Linked DNA regions of Xenopus tropicalis. The protein of the gene in region 1 interacts with the protein of each later gene in a biochemical or structural test. Links are inferred from orthologs where the notes say so. Each region holds a gene or a part of one and is shown on either strand. Other genes may lie near its edges.

Evidence for each region.
Region 2: the proteins of nbr1 (region 1) and map1lc3c form a complex in vitro, tested with the Homo sapiens proteins (2 studies listed by IntAct). The link is inferred for Xenopus tropicalis from reciprocal best matches to the Homo sapiens genes NBR1 and MAP1LC3C.
Region 3: the proteins of nbr1 (region 1) and map1lc3a form a complex in vitro, tested with the Homo sapiens proteins (2 studies listed by BioGRID and IntAct). The link is inferred for Xenopus tropicalis from reciprocal best matches to the Homo sapiens genes NBR1 and MAP1LC3A.
Region 4: the proteins of nbr1 (region 1) and gabarapl2 form a complex in vitro, tested with the Homo sapiens proteins (2 studies listed by IntAct). The link is inferred for Xenopus tropicalis from reciprocal best matches to the Homo sapiens genes NBR1 and GABARAPL2.

Annotation. Positions count from the first base shown.
Region 1 is NC_030686.2:19,638,760-19,642,323, forward strand, and holds part of nbr1 (next to BRCA1 gene 1 protein), read left to right. Parts: intron 1-431; coding exon 432-551; intron 552-1,056; coding exon 1,057-1,132; intron 1,133-2,119; coding exon 2,120-2,230; intron 2,231-3,288; coding exon 3,289-3,444; intron 3,445-3,564. UniProt on the Homo sapiens protein: Ubiquitin-binding autophagy adapter that participates in different processes including host defense or intracellular homeostasis.
Region 2 is NC_030681.2:57,424,546-57,428,837, reverse strand, and holds the start of map1lc3c (microtubule-associated proteins 1A/1B light chain 3C), read left to right. Parts: upstream 1-1,433; 5' UTR 1,434-1,452; coding exon 1,453-1,504; intron 1,505-1,582; coding exon 1,583-1,638; intron 1,639-1,825; coding exon 1,826-1,932; intron 1,933-4,292.
Region 3 is NC_030686.2:41,178,459-41,182,804, forward strand, and holds the start of map1lc3a (microtubule-associated proteins 1A/1B light chain 3A), read right to left. Parts: upstream 2,838-4,346; 5' UTR 2,780-2,837; coding exon 2,740-2,779; intron 1-2,739. UniProt on the Homo sapiens protein: Ubiquitin-like modifier involved in formation of autophagosomal vacuoles (autophagosomes). While LC3s are involved in elongation of the phagophore membrane, the GABARAP/GATE-16 subfamily is essential for a later stage in autophagosome maturation.
Region 4 is NC_030680.2:64,266,567-64,270,825, forward strand, and holds the start of gabarapl2 (gamma-aminobutyric acid receptor-associated protein-like 2), read left to right. Parts: upstream 1-1,425; 5' UTR 1,426-1,434; coding exon 1,435-1,468; intron 1,469-4,094; coding exon 4,095-4,150; intron 4,151-4,259. UniProt on the Homo sapiens protein: Ubiquitin-like modifier involved in intra-Golgi traffic. Modulates intra-Golgi transport through coupling between NSF activity and SNAREs activation. It first stimulates the ATPase activity of NSF which in turn stimulates the association with GOSR1.

The DNA.
Region 1 (3,564 bases):
CATGGTGTGCGCTATTGTCAACTTTTCATTTATAAATATCCAGTCGATTTTGGGCTTAAATAGGTTATAATTTATAGTAAGGGATTTCCAAGATCTTGCTAGAACTTGTCTTGCAGCCAGAAATATCTAGTTAATTTATCTCCTTTGTGTATTTGTCAGCCCTTGAGCTGGTGCTCCCATTAATGCGACATATGGGTCTCTTCACAGGTTAACGTTTAGGACTGCAAAGTTATATTCCCAAATCCAATATCTAGTTGCTTGTGGACAGGTCCACCATATATGGGCCATAGTCCCTGAGGGTATAATTATTTTTTATAATAATTTTGAACTACATTCCAACTATACTTTTTTTACATTGTAATTTCTAAAATAATCACAGACCTTATTAAATATTGACCTTTAATAGGATGCAACCCACTGTATTTACTCAGCAACAGAATGGATACTTGCTGATCCAAGACGTGGCCAGGGCCCCCACTCCTGAGCCAATCAGGAATATGAACTGTGACAGACAGCTGTACATTCCATCTGTGGATCTTCTTACTGCTCAGGTAAAAAACTGTCCCTTCTTGGTGGGGTTGGAGGCAATGGTATTAATTTCACCTAGTTATAACCAGTTTTCTTCTTACTTTCACCTTTTATTCTTACAGTTTATAAAGGTGCAGAGTTTACAAAACACACTTTTGGCTCACCTAATTAAATATTTACTCAGTCACACTTTAGTTCACATTTTCTATCTGTTTTCTTGAACAGGCAGCCATCTTTAAAAAGGTATTCTCCCTTCCTTTCCCTCCTTGCTTCATACTGCACATGTGTTTCATTCCCTCCCCCCCCCCCCCCCCAGCCTACAGGAAGGGGTGAGAGATTTCAGTGATGTCACTGTAGTCTTCACACTGCTGTAGGCTGCCAGCACCATATCTCAGAGAAGCAAGCAGATATCTGGGAATTTAGATATGCAGTAAATACTTAAAAAGAATGCCTTTAGACTTACTTTTAATTTATATTAATTTTTCCTTGTCCTTTAAGGGATGAGTTCACCTTTATTCTTTTGTTTAGGATTTGCTTTCATTTGAGTTGCTGGATATAAACATTGTCCAAGAACTGGAACATGTTCCTCATAATACTCCCATTGGTGAGTGCACTTTAAAGACTTTGTATGTATTAAGAGTAGAAGTAAACAAAAACACAGTGGCATGGTGGTGGTGGGAGGTAGGCTAATAGCTTGCAACAGGTATGTCTCATCCGGGTTTACAAAAGTGTGGCCCGTATTCCACAACAATGGCAAAAGAGCTGCAGTTTGCTTTTGCCTGATCTTAAGCAGCAGCGTGCATACAGGACTTAGAGGGCAGCTTAAATCCAAGGGCACTAAGAAGTATTCAAAAGTACAAAACTTGTCTCAGCATAAATTGCACCATCTTCACCTAATCTGGCAAATGCCAGAGGGGCTGCTATAAGATTCCATAGACAGTTGCTATTTATTGGGCCTGTGGTGGTAGCCTCAGTGTAGTTTAAAATGCCAGGTCTTGACTGGGATTCAAAATAGGCCCTGGCATTCCAAGTACAAAGATGCCCAAACAGCTCCCATCTGACAGCAGCCCCTCTAGCATTTGCTAAAATCCACAGATTGGTAGTCTGTGCCTGGTAAAAAAAAATCTTCCTTTCTTCCAATTTCAGAAATTTCCTTCCTTCCACTTTCAGCCATAAATTCTTTGGAAGGATATGAGAGATTATTATGTGGTCTGTTTAAATATTTATCATATCTCACCCCCCCAACAAGCCATTGTTGTTTAGCTTAATGGATGCATATTGGAAATAAGATATCCTTTCATTATGCAAAGGCAGTATTTGGATTCCAGTAGAACTAATATTATCTCGCTTCATGTTTTCTTGCAGCTAGTATGTATGCACCTGAATAGAAGAGAATATTTTCTGGTTGTAATGGTTGTTGTCAATCATACACAGAAACAGACACATTATTTGTATGGTTTTGGTTATTAGCATGCTCACCATTATACCAACAATGTTTTAATGATGGAACAACTCTGAACTTCTTTAGGTCTTTAAACTTGCTTTTATAAGCCTTTAATATCTTATATACTGATCCAGTTTTTCTTTCTAGATATGACTCCGTGCATGTCTCCTCTGACACACGATGGACCATTAATTGAGAATACAGGTTTGGGACAAACAGTTGAAGAGAGTAAAATGACTTTGCAAAAGACAGATAATAGTAAGGCCTTGCATATAACTGAGACAATATATAAATATATGTTGATATATGTTGATGATATGATCATGTGGCCACTGGAGCTCTTCACCAAAGGTTGGTTGTGGCCACAGGAAAGATTTTCCTGTGAACAAATGTATTGGATAATAAATGTATATATAATGAATTTATGTGATATCGGTTTAGTAGCATAGTTTTTCCATGAGTGGGCCAAAACTGCTTATCTGTTTGCAGTGATGCTGAGTTACACACTCAGTGATGCAGTGGTTAGTATTGCTGCCTTGCTAGGTTCTATTCCAGCTAAGGCACAGGCTTATTTATAAAGGCTGGGCAGATTTGCATCTGGGCGGTAACCCATGGCAACAAAAAGTTTACTTTTATTGTTCAACCTGCAGCTGCCTAAAAAGAAGCCATTCACTGATAAGTTACTATAAGTTACTGCCCTTGTGCAAATTTGCTGAGTCTTTATAAATGAGCCCCATCTCCAACATTTTGGTATTGGTGCCCTCTGAAGACACAGGCCCTTTTTTTTTTTTCACTCAGGTGAGTTTATTAAAGGGTGAACATAGAAAAATCATACATTTGGTTTAGCATTGATACATGAAAAAGATGGTACATAGCTTGGTAACAGAGTAAATTGCGAGGGTATAGGATCAATGTTTCCAGAATAACAGACATATTAAGTACAGTTTTGTATGGTTTTTACAGTAGCCTATTTTACTGTACATTTTTAGCGTGGTCATTCACTTATAGCTATATTCCACTTATTCCATACTTTTTCATATTTTTTGTGATTTCCATTTCTTTTGTATGCGGCCTTTTCTATTTTATTCAAATCCTCAACTAACTCATGCCATTGGTCATATGTTGGAGGGTCAGGGCATTTCCAGAGCCTGGTGACCCATTTCCTAGCTATAAATACAACGTAGTACTTTTTGTAGGTACTGTATGTCTGTGCTGGGTAGTTTCAGTGATGTAGTGATGCCCAGCAGACAGACATATGTGATAATGTAGTCTATAGAAACATCAATGTGTGTTTTATATGGCTCCTTTTTTTTCAGGACTAAGTAAGTTTCTCGATAACAAAGAAAACACTGCGGCACAGGATGAAGAAGAAATCAGCGGAACCCAGTTTGTGTGTGAAACAGTAATACGCAGTCTCACGCTAGATGCAGCCCCGGATTACAACCTACCTCAAAGGAAGCCCTCGCCCCACAGTGGGTTCCATGTTGATACAATACTGTAAAGGTCATAGAGGCCTGATGGTGGGAGATAGGCATCCCTTGGGTTTCTGGATATAGGATCTCATACTCAGTGAAACCTGCATCTCATATTCT
Region 2 (4,292 bases), on another chromosome or scaffold:
TAAGCTAAATAAAATACCAAATAAAGGAAATGCCTCACTCCCAAACAAAATAATTTCTACCTTAAAGACATATCAACAAAAAATCAATAAGGGTTTTTATGCAGTTTGCAGCCTAGGGGCTCTTTCACATGGGTATTTTGTGCATTTAAGCATACCAACTGCATCAGCTAATTGTATACTGCATTAATTTATAACTACAAATGTACAAAGTGTTTTACACATCGTAAACAAATATAGTGTTATAGTTATCAGGGCTCTTGCACAGAGGTGAAAGGCTGCATGTTGTGTCTCACCTTGGCTTTAAGACCCTGTCAGTACAACCTCTATTGGAATGAATGGGCTCCTCTAACTCATGTGTTCCATTTTGGTGCAAAGCATAAAAAAAAAACACAATTTTTATTACACAGTTGGGATAGGGTCCCTAATACATTGCATTTTATCCTGATTGGCTGTACCCACCTGCATCCAAATCAGTGTTTTAGCACATTGTGTTTTATATAATGCAATAAAATAGAGATATGCATGTTGAACTTAGCAAAAACACACTTCGTTGCATATAAATGCAATAGGTTATGGCGCACAGTATGCATTTTAGACACACACATTCCTATGAGAGCCCTTCATTTTATTTTTCCCTTTGTCTCACTTTTTTTAAATAAATCAAATAGAGCAAATTCCCCACTAAATAAAAAAGCAATCCTAATTTTTGAGAAACAGAAAAAGACCAAATTTACCCACTAGAAGGGTTTTCATGCACCTTCTTAAGCACATACTGCAGATATTTTAGCAGCCCACAAGCAGTAACTTTTCTAGAAGTCTACCTTTTTAAAGGAATTTTAAAAGGAATGTTATTTAGAGTGGCTCTTTGTTATCATACATGTTAAGATTCAACTTTTAAATATGCAGACATAAAAAAACCCATTGTGTATTGTTTTTTAAAATATAAAAAATATAAGTAAATGTTGGCAAGTATTTTTGTAATACCATATAAATACATGCTGGTTTGCTTTGTTAAATGAGAGTGGGTAATTACCCATCTGTTTAATTCATGGCAGCTTTGCAGAACACAATTAAGAAGAAGAAACAACCAAGGCAGAATCACGCTGTGCATGTTTGGCTTAAATACCTGAGCACAATATATTTGTTTTCTTTAGTAGCAGCCTGAAATTAATCTTATTATCTATTAGTCTGATATTTTAAAAAACAGACATTTCTGTTGTTGTTTAACTGATGCTATTTAGAGAATTGTATTTCATGATTCTAACTGCCAGTTAAGTCCCACCCCTTTGTGGCAGTAAATTTGAAACTATATACTACTGCCACACCTATATAAACTGAGCAGCAGAAAGCAATACCATTTTGTTAAGGTTGCTATAACCTCCCCACCCCCCCTCAAAAAAAAACAAAAAACAAAAAAAAGAAACCCTGTAACAATTTTTTTTATTTCAAACTATGCAGTCTAACCAAAAAAACTCTCAGCCTTTTAAGCAGAGAAAGAGTCTGGGTAAATTCCATTATATTGCTTTGTTCTAAATGAAGCATTATCATTATTGCTTAATGAGGAATTATTATTATTTCACAGCATCCAGAAAAGAAGAAGTCATTGGAATAAAGGCAAAATTTCCAACAAAAATCCCGGTAAATAATTATTCTTTTTATTCTGTGTATTTTGTTAATAGGATAATAATAATAGAATAATAGAATGGAAACTGTATCTTTCTCTGCACTAATGATACTCTGAAGAGGGCTATGTCTTTGCAGTTTACATGTATAAAAAAAAAAATATTTACTAAATGTGCTTGACTTCCAGCAATTTTTATTTCAGGTGATTGTTGAAAGATACCGCCGAGAAAAATATCTACCCCTATTAGACAAAACAAAATTTCTTGTTCCCAAGGACCTCTCTATGATGCAGTTTATTAATATTATTAGGTATGTGGCTTTCTTGTTAATTCCTAAGTATGTTTACTGCCAAACATTAGATTGGTTTATTGCTGGTTAAGTAAATAAGTAGAGACTATAAATTGTATGGATTTAGTGAATATATCCAATAATCAACTGTTTGCAATGTCAAAATGTTTGTCTTCTATAATCTGTTATTTGCTGTAAATGAAAGTCAAATTATACATGAGGATTCTGTTATTCTTAAACATGCCATCTATTCTTTTTATAATATAGTTTAATAATATGTGCCCAATTTCACCTGCAGCCAATCTAGAGTTGCCAAATAATTAAATATGCCTAAGATAGGGCTGCATAGATTTGAAAGCAGACATGCAGAAAACATACAAGGCTTTCTTAAGTAAAGTACCAATAACACCAAAAACTAAAAGGGGTTTTGTATGTATTTATATATTGTAAAATTCTGTGTATTTACTTTGAAAGGACAAGAAACCAATTTAACCTGTTAAGACACTCAAAAAAAACAAGGACAAAAAAAAACCGTGTTGGACCTGTTAAAACCACTTTGTAGGGAATAGGACTAAATACATACCTTTAGCCATATTTAATGTGTAAACAAAATGTCATTTGTGGATAAAAATGGTATCCAGTTAAATCAATTAAAGAACCCTACACTCATAAGTTTAATTTATTTGGTTGTTGTCCCCAGGGAGGTGCTTCAAGTCAGTTCCTGGGGGGCCCAATTTAACGGCTGTCAACCAACCACATGTCAGGAGGGGAGATAATGATCCACTCCAAGACTTTTTTGAACCTTATTTCAGGTTCTCATTTAGTGTGAAGAGGAATTCAGCAATAAAAAATAGGACTGGATCGCTATCTCCCTCATGATATGGGTTTGGTTGACCGCTTTGCATTTAGTGAGGAGGTGCCAGGAATTATTATAAATAAGCTAAAATATGTCAAGGAAGGGACTATTAAAGGTGAATTGTGTTATAGGGCAGTGCTGTCCCCCTCTGTGTGGCCCCCCCACCTGTCTGGCTGCTTAGATGGCTTACCTTTGTATAAGCTTTAAATGGTATCAGTACTGAGATTAACTGGCCCCCTGAATGGTTCTCAACTCAGATTCAGGCTGTAATCCCCCTGTATTGTTTAAATATGTAATCCCCTGTGTTGTTCACACCTTTTAATCCTTACATTGTTCACCCCCTGCAGTGTTCACACCTCAGGCTCAGGCTGTAATCACCCCCATTGTTCACCTGTTCACACCTCAGACATTGTAGGTAGTCCCTGAACTATGCTGCCTGTGTGTATGGCACACACAGGCAGCATAGGGCAGGCAGAGTATGGCGCACACACAGGCAGCATAGGGCAGGCAGAGTATGGCACAGACAGGCAGGGTAGGGCAGGCAGAGCATGGCACACACAGGCAGCACAGGGCAGGGAGGGTATGGCACACACAGGCAGCATAGGGCAGGCAGAGTATGGCACACACAGGCAGTGTAGGGCAGGCAGAGTATGGCACACACAGGCAGCACTCTGCCTGCCCTACCCTGCCGGTGTGTGCCATACTCTGCCTGCCCTATGCTGCTTGTGGGAGGTGAACCTGGCAGGGGTTTGTTGTGGGAGTTTGTTTGCAGTTGGAAATAGCCATTAAATGGCCCCTCAGGTGTGTAATTATGTGCTGGGTGCTATCCACAGGGGAGGAGGAGGCATATGGATTTTAATGGTATATCTTAATATGACATAATGTAATTCTTTCACATATGAATGACGGTTGACCAAGCATTTGGGATTTTGCTGTGCTACCACTATTGTGATAAAATAGGTCTGGTTTGATGTGGTTTTAAAAAGGGGAGTGGTCAAAATGGCTTCTATTAGCAGCCCTCCTCCATGTATGCTAGAGCAATTCCGGCCCTCTGCACCGCAGAAGTTGGACAGCACTATTATAGGGCATACATTTACATCTATTATGGCACCAATGTATTGGGGAAAAAGGATGATGTAATTCCAAATTTTTAAAATTGAATTACGATCTCAGCCTGGAAATTATAGGCCCATCTATGTGGCATCTGTAGTGTGCAAGTTAATTTATAGTTTGTTAAAGGGGATGTCGGCCTTTTGCAAAGTTCTACCAGGTGGAACAGATGGAAAAAAATGGAGCAATTTCTTAGGGGAAATAGGGATGCACCAAATCCAGAATTCGGCCTTTTTCAGCAGGATTTGGTTTTGGGCAAATCCACGCTCCAGGCTGAACCAAATCCTTAAAATCATGTGACTTTTTGTCACAAAACTTGGAATTGGAATTTTTTTACACCGGTGGACGGTTCTCTTTGGCACTTCTGTATAGATACAGAAGTGCAAAAGAGAACTGTTTGGTATTCGGCCAAATC
Region 3 (4,346 bases), about 22 Mb from region 1:
TGCTGTACTGGCTATAAATGTAGCCCTGTCTGAGCCTGTCCTGATTACTTGCTTTATCAGCAGTCCTTGTACATTAAGTAATACAAACAGAATTGTTATACCTGTCCTGTTTATTTGCAGTCAGGCCATTGGCACATTAAATGGTAACTCAGGTCTGTTCTAGCCATTTTTGATAAATCCACAGCCAGCCTAGACTTAGCCTGTCCTGATATCAGCAGTTTGGTCACTGTACATTATACAGAAACACGGACGGGGCTGCCTGAGCCTGTCCTGATATCAGCAGTCTGGTCACTGTACATTAAACACAAACACTGGGCTGCCTGAGCCTGTCCTGATATCAGATGTCTGGTCACTGTACATTAAACATAAACACTGGGCTGCCTGAGCCTGTCCTGATATCAGATGTCTGGTCACTGTACATTAAACACAAACACTGGGCTGCCTGAGCCTGTCCTGATATCAGATGTCTGGTCACTGTACATTAAACACAAACACTGGGCTGCCTGAGCCTGTCCTGATATCAGCAGTCTGGTCACTGTACATTAAACATAAACACTGGGCTGCCTGAGCCTGTCCTGATATCAGGAGTCTGGTCACTGTACATTAAACACAAACACTGGGCTGCCTGAGCCTGTCCTGATATCAGCAGTCTGGTCACTGTACATTAAACATAAACACTGGGCTGCCTGAGCCTGTCCTGATATCAGGAGTCTGGTCACTGTACATTAAACATAAACACTGGGCTGCCTGAGCCTGTCCTGATATCAGGAGTCTGGTCACTGTACATTAAACATAAACACTGGGCTGCCTGAGCCTGTCCTGATATCAGGAGTCTGGTCACTGTACATTAAACATAAACACTGGGCTGCCTGAGCCTGTCCTGATATCAGGAGTCTGGTCACTGTACATTAAACATAAACACTGGGCTGCCTGAGCCTGTCCTGATATCAGGAGTCTGGTCACTGTACATTAAACATAAACACTGGGCTGCCTGAGCCTGTCCTGATATCAGGAGTCTGGTCACTGTACATTAAACACAAACACTGGGCTGCCTGAGCCTGTCCTGATATCAGCAGTCTGGTCACTGTACATTAAACATAAACACTGGGCTGCCTGAGCCTGTCCTGATATCAGCAGTCTGGTCACTGTACATTAAACACAAACACTGGGCTGCCTGAGCCTGTCCTGATATCAGGAGTCTGGTCACTGTACATTAAACACAAACACTGGGCTGCTTGTGCCTGTCCTGATATCAGGAGTCTGGTCACTGTACATTAAACATAAACACTGGGCTGCCTGAGCCTGTCCTGATATCAGGAGTCTGGTCACTGTACATTAAACACAAACACTGGGCTGCCTGAGCCTGTCCTGATATCAGGAGTCTGGTCACTGTACATTAAACACAAACACTGGGCTGCCTGAGCCTGTCCTGATATCAGGAGTCTGGTCACTGTACATTAAACACAAACACTGGGCTGCTTGTGCCTGTCCTGATATCAGGAGTCTGGTCACTGTACATTAAACACAAACACTGGGCTGCTTGTGCCTGTCCTGATATCAGGAGTCTGGTCACTGTACATTAAACACAAACACTGGGCTGCCTGAGCCTGTCCTGATATCAGCAGTCTGGTCACTGTACATTAAACACAAACACTGGGCTGCCTGAGCCTGTCCTGATATTAGATGTCTGGTCACTGTACATTAAACACAAACACTGGGCTGCCTGAGCCTGTCCTGATATCAGCAGTCTGGTCACTGTACATTAAACATAAACACTGGGCTGCCTGAGCCTGTCCTGATATCAGGAGTCTGGTCACTGTACATTAAACATAAACACTGGGCTGCCTGAGCCTGTCCTGATATCAGGAGTCTGGTCACTGTACATTAAACACAAACACTGGGCTGCCTGAGCCTGTCCTGATATCAGGAGTCTGGTCACTGTACATTAAACAGGAACAAGGGGCTGCCTGAGCCTGTCCTGATAATCATCAGCAATAATGAGATTATGTCCAACTAATAATAATAATAATAATAACAATAATATGTGCACCCCCTTTCCTACAGAACCCCTGCCCTGTTTGAGCCTGTCCCAATAAACTGCAGTCCCACCACTCACATTACAATATACGGGGCATTGCCTGTGGCACAGAGAGGGTGCCCCCCTTTCCTACAGAACCCCTGCCCTGTCTGGCCTGTCCCAATAAACTGCAGTCCCACCACTCACATTACAATATACAGGGCATGGCCTGTGGCACAGAGAGGGTGCCCCCCTTTCCTACAGAACCCCTGTCCTGTCTGGCCTGTCCCGATACTGAGACTGCTGCTAAGCAATGTGCCATACCCACAGCAAATGCTGATGAACAGGACAGGCCCGGGCAGAAGGAAAGCTGCCAGTTGTTGTTGAGGAAGGAGACTGGGATGTGCCAGATGGAAACATGTCCCGATAATGTGCAGGCAAAGCCAGTCAGTGAGCGGCAGGTGGGACAAAGCCCTATTGGGGGGAGGAGGGTACAATCCCCGCAGCCCCTAAACCTGTCCCGTTATTATGGGGCACTTTGGGCAAACACTACACTGGCTCCCCCGGTCTGGTGGCGACTGGCAGCCATAGCCACATTAGGATCGCAGCTGATCAGGACCGGTTTAACCCCCCCTGTTCCTTAGGGGCGCCTCCTCAGTGCCAGTATGGCCCCCAAGCCCCGCGGTGCCACCCTCACCCCCCCACAGTGGGCAAACACTCACCGAAGGTTCTCCTGTGCTTAAAGGGCCGCTCTGACGGCATCCTGAGGGGTGTGAGTCCCAGAAGCTAGCACTCAGCCCGACTCGCCCAGTCTCTCTCTGCCTTTGGCTTCTGTTCGCCCCTTTGTGCGTCTCTCCCCACTCTCGGCTGGCTCTGTGCGGATACAATGTAACAACATGACGTCACGGAGGCGCTCAGGCTCATATATGAGCAAAGGGTGCCCCCTGCTGGCCATTCTGCGTAACAGCACCCTGGCGCTTAAACGCCTATGTTACGGCTCCCTCCCTGCATTCTCCGCTCTGTTCCATACTAGGGGCAGCCACACTTACACTCAGTACTATACATTACACTCAGTACTATATAGCGTCTCATTAATAGCAAGAATATAACTACATAGCGCAATACAGGATAGTACATCGCATTGCCCACTCTCTTATTGGGTCATTATACTTTTAGCGCCCGTCGCCTCGTTAGCGCAGTAGGTAGCGCGTCAGTCTCATAATCTGAAGGTCGTGAGTTCGATCCTCACACGGGGCACAGTGTTTTCCTTCCAATCCAGTTGAAATAGCACTGGGTACGTTTCTAAAACGGTAAAATAAATTTTATGCCAAACAAGAGGCTTTCAGTGTATTCAGTAGGATGTTTATTAATGTGCCCCTGCAGCAGTTATACAGGGATGTAAATCCAATATAATATACTCCCATTGCCTTGGAATTGTATGGGCAGAAACAGTGGCATAGCTAAAAGTTACTAGCCATCAAAAAAAGCATTATATTATACATAGTTACATAGGGTTGAAAAAAGACCAGAGTCCATCAAGTTCAACCCTTCCAAGTAAACCCAGCACCCACAACCTATACTTACCAATCTATACACTCACATACATAAACTATATATACAACCAGTAATACTAACTGTAGATATTAGTATCACAATAGCCATGGATATTCTGATTGATCAAGAACTCATCCAGGCCCCTCTTATAGGCATTAACAGAGTCTGCCATTACCCCATCACTAGGAAGGGCATTCCCCAACCTCACTGCCCTCCCCGTGAAAAACCCCCTACACTGCTTCAAATGGAAGCTCTGTTCCTCTAATCTAAAGGGGGGGCCTCTGGTGTGTTGATTATGGCCCCCGTATACTTAATGCAGAGCTGAAACTAGGGATAGTGATCTATGGGGTAGGGAGAGACCGAAGGGCAGGGGGAGCAAGCAGGGGGGTAGTGGGCAGCCCAGGGTAGGCTGTGGACCAATGACAAATGTGGGGGATTGAAGTTGAATGGGGCAATCGCGGCACTGGGTTAAGTAATATTGCCTTGGGTGCCACTACTTCTTCGGTAGGGTCTGACTTTGGGTATAAGACATTTTTCATAAACATATATCGTCTGCAAATCAGTCAGTGCCCCACTAGGCCCCTATTCCTCTTGGGCCGTGGGCAGTTGCAAGGTTTGCTTCTTCTACAGGAACATTCCTGGGCCAAAAGCAGTGCAGGTCTAATAAAAATGTCTGCAAAGCACACAAGGGGTGCACAGGCCTGAAACCTGCAGGTTGGGTGGGTTTAGTTCAGTAACTGTACTTCTTGAGTGGGTTGTGGATTCCAAGGTGAAA
Region 4 (4,259 bases), on another chromosome or scaffold:
CGCATGCGCACTCGGGGGGGGTGCCCTGGGTGCCGTGCTGCCAGGTGTCTTTATCCTGCCAAGACTCATTAGAGGTGGGATAAACTGGTGGGCATCCTCTCTTGCTGTCCTCAGAGTGTGGTACTGCTATTTCCTCAATGTGAGTATGATCTATGACCCTGTGAGCTAATTGTCTAGGACAAATAAATCAGTTACTGTTTGTTTCATTAGCAAGAACCTTCTGGTGTCCATTCTTTCCAATTACTTTGAAAACAACATAAGTGAGTTACAGTTATATCCAAGGATATTTCCACTTAGCAAAAGCCCATCTGACGTGTAGGGCCCTATGTACACCATGATCTAAAGCCATTCTAGCCGGCGCTGCCTGTTTTTACAGCCAAATAGGGGTTACACATACATTTATAGTGCAGCTGAGGAACTATACAGAGGCTGACATTTGTGGGCGTGACATTAAGTGGGTGTGGCACAAAACAAAAATTTTGTATTACGTTAACCCCGGATTTCATTTTCAAAATCTGGTCACCTTATCATAATACTTATTCAGGTGTGCGCTCTCTATCTTTCTTTTGCGTCAGGCAAACCGACTTACATCGAAAATAAACAAGCAAGTATATATAAATGACAGTGTCATCTAAGGGGTGGTTACTAAAACATTTATTTTTATTTTAAAGAAACCATGAATAAACTCATTTCCTGTCATTTATAAAAAGATCTGAACTGGAAAAAGTCGCAAAAACCACAGCTTTTTTGACTTTTCGCATAATAACCGCAACTTTTTTGACTTGTTACAAAAATATCAGTGACAAAACCCCCCAAAAACCAGGAAGCAAAGCAAGATCTTTCAGTTGTAAAAGGAACATCTGCCACTGACTTCTGTATATTGAAAGGTTTTAGCAGGAGTGTTTTTCACATTTGGAATTGTCAGTTTTGTCACATAATAAATCTCAGAAACGTTTAGTAAATGCCCACTCAAGTTCCAAAGTTCCCTTGCTCCAATGCTTGGTTAACAAAAAAAAATAAAAACAAGAAACATTCATGATTGCAACATTATTACCCCATTTACACAGGGTTAGTTGTCATCTCTGTGGAGGATAAATAGGAGATGACTTTCATACACAAATATTTCGCATTCAAAATAACCAGAGGAACCTCTAGGGTTAAGTCGCTATGATATTTTTCACGAAGAATAAGCTGATTGCTGCTAAACATTACTGTGCGACTGATCACTACAGTTCAGCATCAGCTTAACCCCTATAACCCCACGGAAAATACGTTTTTGTTTTGCTCCTGTTTTAGCCGACGAAACCCCTCCCATGTGCTTATTATTAACCATAATGGGAGGTACTGGAAACCCCAGGGCGCCCTGACCCGGAAGTGTCGTCATCGGGAGACTCCGCCTTATTGTTATTGTCGTCGCTGTCATCTGTCGGTACCATGAAGTGGATGTTCAAGGAAGACCATTCGCTGGGTGAGAACGGGGAAAGTTCGGGGGGTAGCCCATTACCTTTACTGTACTAATCTGGCAACACTACCTGAAGTTACCTCTGTATACTCTAAAGCGGTCGCTGCTAGCCCACCTTCATCGCCCCCGCCCTATAGGCACAGGCTACACCTCGTAGCGCTGCCCTTCCATCTAGTAGCGACTATTCCCATCCCCCGCAGTTTGTTTGTTGGTACTGACTGTACCCTCCCAGGCTTTGTCCTCTAACCTTATTTTACCATTAGTGTGTTTATCTCTCTGAAAGATAAAAACATATAAACCCTGGCCCTTTTTTTCTCATTAATCAACCGTGATCTCATCAACTTCAGTTTCTCAGTCACATCTATAATAACATTCCCTAGAGCCCATGGAATTGTGCTTTGAGCTCCAAATGCTGCAGTTTTTGTAAAACTCTTGTCATGAGACATCAGATTGTAAATAGGTCCAAGTGGCAGTAATTGCATTGAAATGGTGGTTAGGTCAGTTTGAACAAAAAACAGCAAAATTGCCTCTACACTATTTTATATGGTCACCAAATGGGTGCAGCTATATTCAGTAATGTTTATCAGTATATATCCTATGTGTAATATTTAACAACAAATACCTAACTGCTTACCAAAGGTTATGGTATGTTTGCTCCACCTTGTCACTCATATGCTTGTTTTTGCTTTTAACTTTCCTGACCACACATCCCTTTCTACTCTATATTGTTTTTTTTTACAACCATTGGTACTAAATTACACAACTACTTCCAGCTTTGCTTTACCAGCTCAGCTGTTGGGGGGAATAAAGAAAAATGTATTCTTTTTATTTTACTTGTGGAACACCAAAGAATACCTATAGTGTCCTTGCAAAGGCCTGTCTTAAAAAAACAAAATATGAAAAAGTTTTTCCATAAAGGACTTGAGGATTGGTTTGTTTTTATCTTTGTGCACCATTTGTGTTTAGCATAGCAAGAACCCATACATGTGTTGAGCCTATTATCCAGAATGCTTGTGACTGGGGGTTTTCTGGAAAAGGGGTCTTTCTGTTATTTGGATCTTAATACCTAAAGTCAACTAAAAAATCTTTTAAATATGAAATAAACCCAATATGATATGTTGGGATCAAGCAATCAATCTAAGTGCGGCTCAGTTCTCAAAATAAACTAATAAGTGCTGACCATGAATATTCCATAGCCTGGATGTGTACAACCCTGGGCTAGACATGGGAATCAGATTACCTGATGAAGTGATTGTCCCGTGTATATAAACCCCAGGTCCCAATCTCACAGGCCAGCCGATACAAATTAATTTCAAATAATTTAGGAATAGAGTGCACTCGCAGTTATTTTTGAGTGGCCTGGTTGCATTATTCCCAACCCATAGCTGTAGGGGAAGTGCAAGGATAAGCAGAAACAGCAAGCACACCTGCCACTTGTAAAGAAAAAATCCAATTTTATTTTAACCAATAGAACATCTTTAGTTGGGATCAAGTACAAGGTACTGTTTTATTATCGCAGGGAAAATAGAAATCGTTTTTAAAAAATAAATTATTTGCCTTAAAGGACATGTAAACCCCGCACAAACAGCCTCTTTGAAATCTTTCAATACCTGCCACTCTGGTTGTCCAGAGGTTAATAGTAAGGCTGCAACATCTCCATAAACACTTATATTTCCTTCTCCTCCTGTAATCCACTCAGCCCCCTCCCTCAGGAATTTGCTTTAATTTCTGGCTTGTGGGCATGCTCAGTTGTTCTAAACTCAGATTACTAAACATGCCCTCCAGTCTAGCAACCAGTGAAGAGATGGCATTGCTGGTTCCCATAGAAACTCAGCTCTAGCTGGCTGCTTCAGTTTTTTTCTCCTGAGCTCAGCTTTACCATTACAGTGCTCAAACAAAGCAGAACTTTTATCAGAACCTGTATTCTTGATGAAATGTATGCTGAATAAGGGTCTGTGTCTGCTGTTTGCAGATTTAAATGTAACTCATTATGTATCAGAGGAAAAATGGCCACCGGGTGAAAACTGCTGTTTGCTTTAGGAAAATGTGATGGTGCTGGCAAGTGGAGGGGATACATGCTGTACAAATAATGCCATTTGGGTGGGGGAGACGTGCCCAACTGATGTACATTGTAGGCAAATGTAGGCTTTGCATGTCCTTTAAATAGAGTCTAAAGGAGATTACCGTAATTTGGTACTTTCTAAAGAATGAGTTTGAGGGTAACGGATCCCATAACTTTACTGTAGTTAACACCAATTTACAGTATTTTCCTGTAATATTAATGAACAACACATTAATGTCCCAATCAAGAATGAAACATGTCAGTGTGGAGAGCTGAGTGTCAGTGAACTACCGGTATATGTTCCTGGCTAGAAATAGGTATCTTTGCTGTAAATGTCGCCCACCACATGATCTGCATGTTGATTTCCTGCATACAGAAGGCCCTGAAGCCCGTTCGTAGCCAGCTATAAATAGTACAAAAACAAGTAGCTCATTATATAGATATATTACTCATAAGACATGAATGGGCTGCTGTTGACGGTAAGGAAGTAAACAAAGTGAAAATGATACTGAATACTATAAGCACAAATACTTTTTTTTAAAATAACATTCCTAAATTTTCCTATTTCAGAACACAGGTGTGTGGAGTCCGCAAAAATCAGAGCCAAGTATCCAGATCGGGTTCCGGTAACCTCTTTTATTTTGCTTTTCTTTTTTGAATGATTACCTATTCAGACTGTAATTGTTGTTATGAAAGCTACAAACAGTGACACACTAGTGGAGTGTTCTATACACA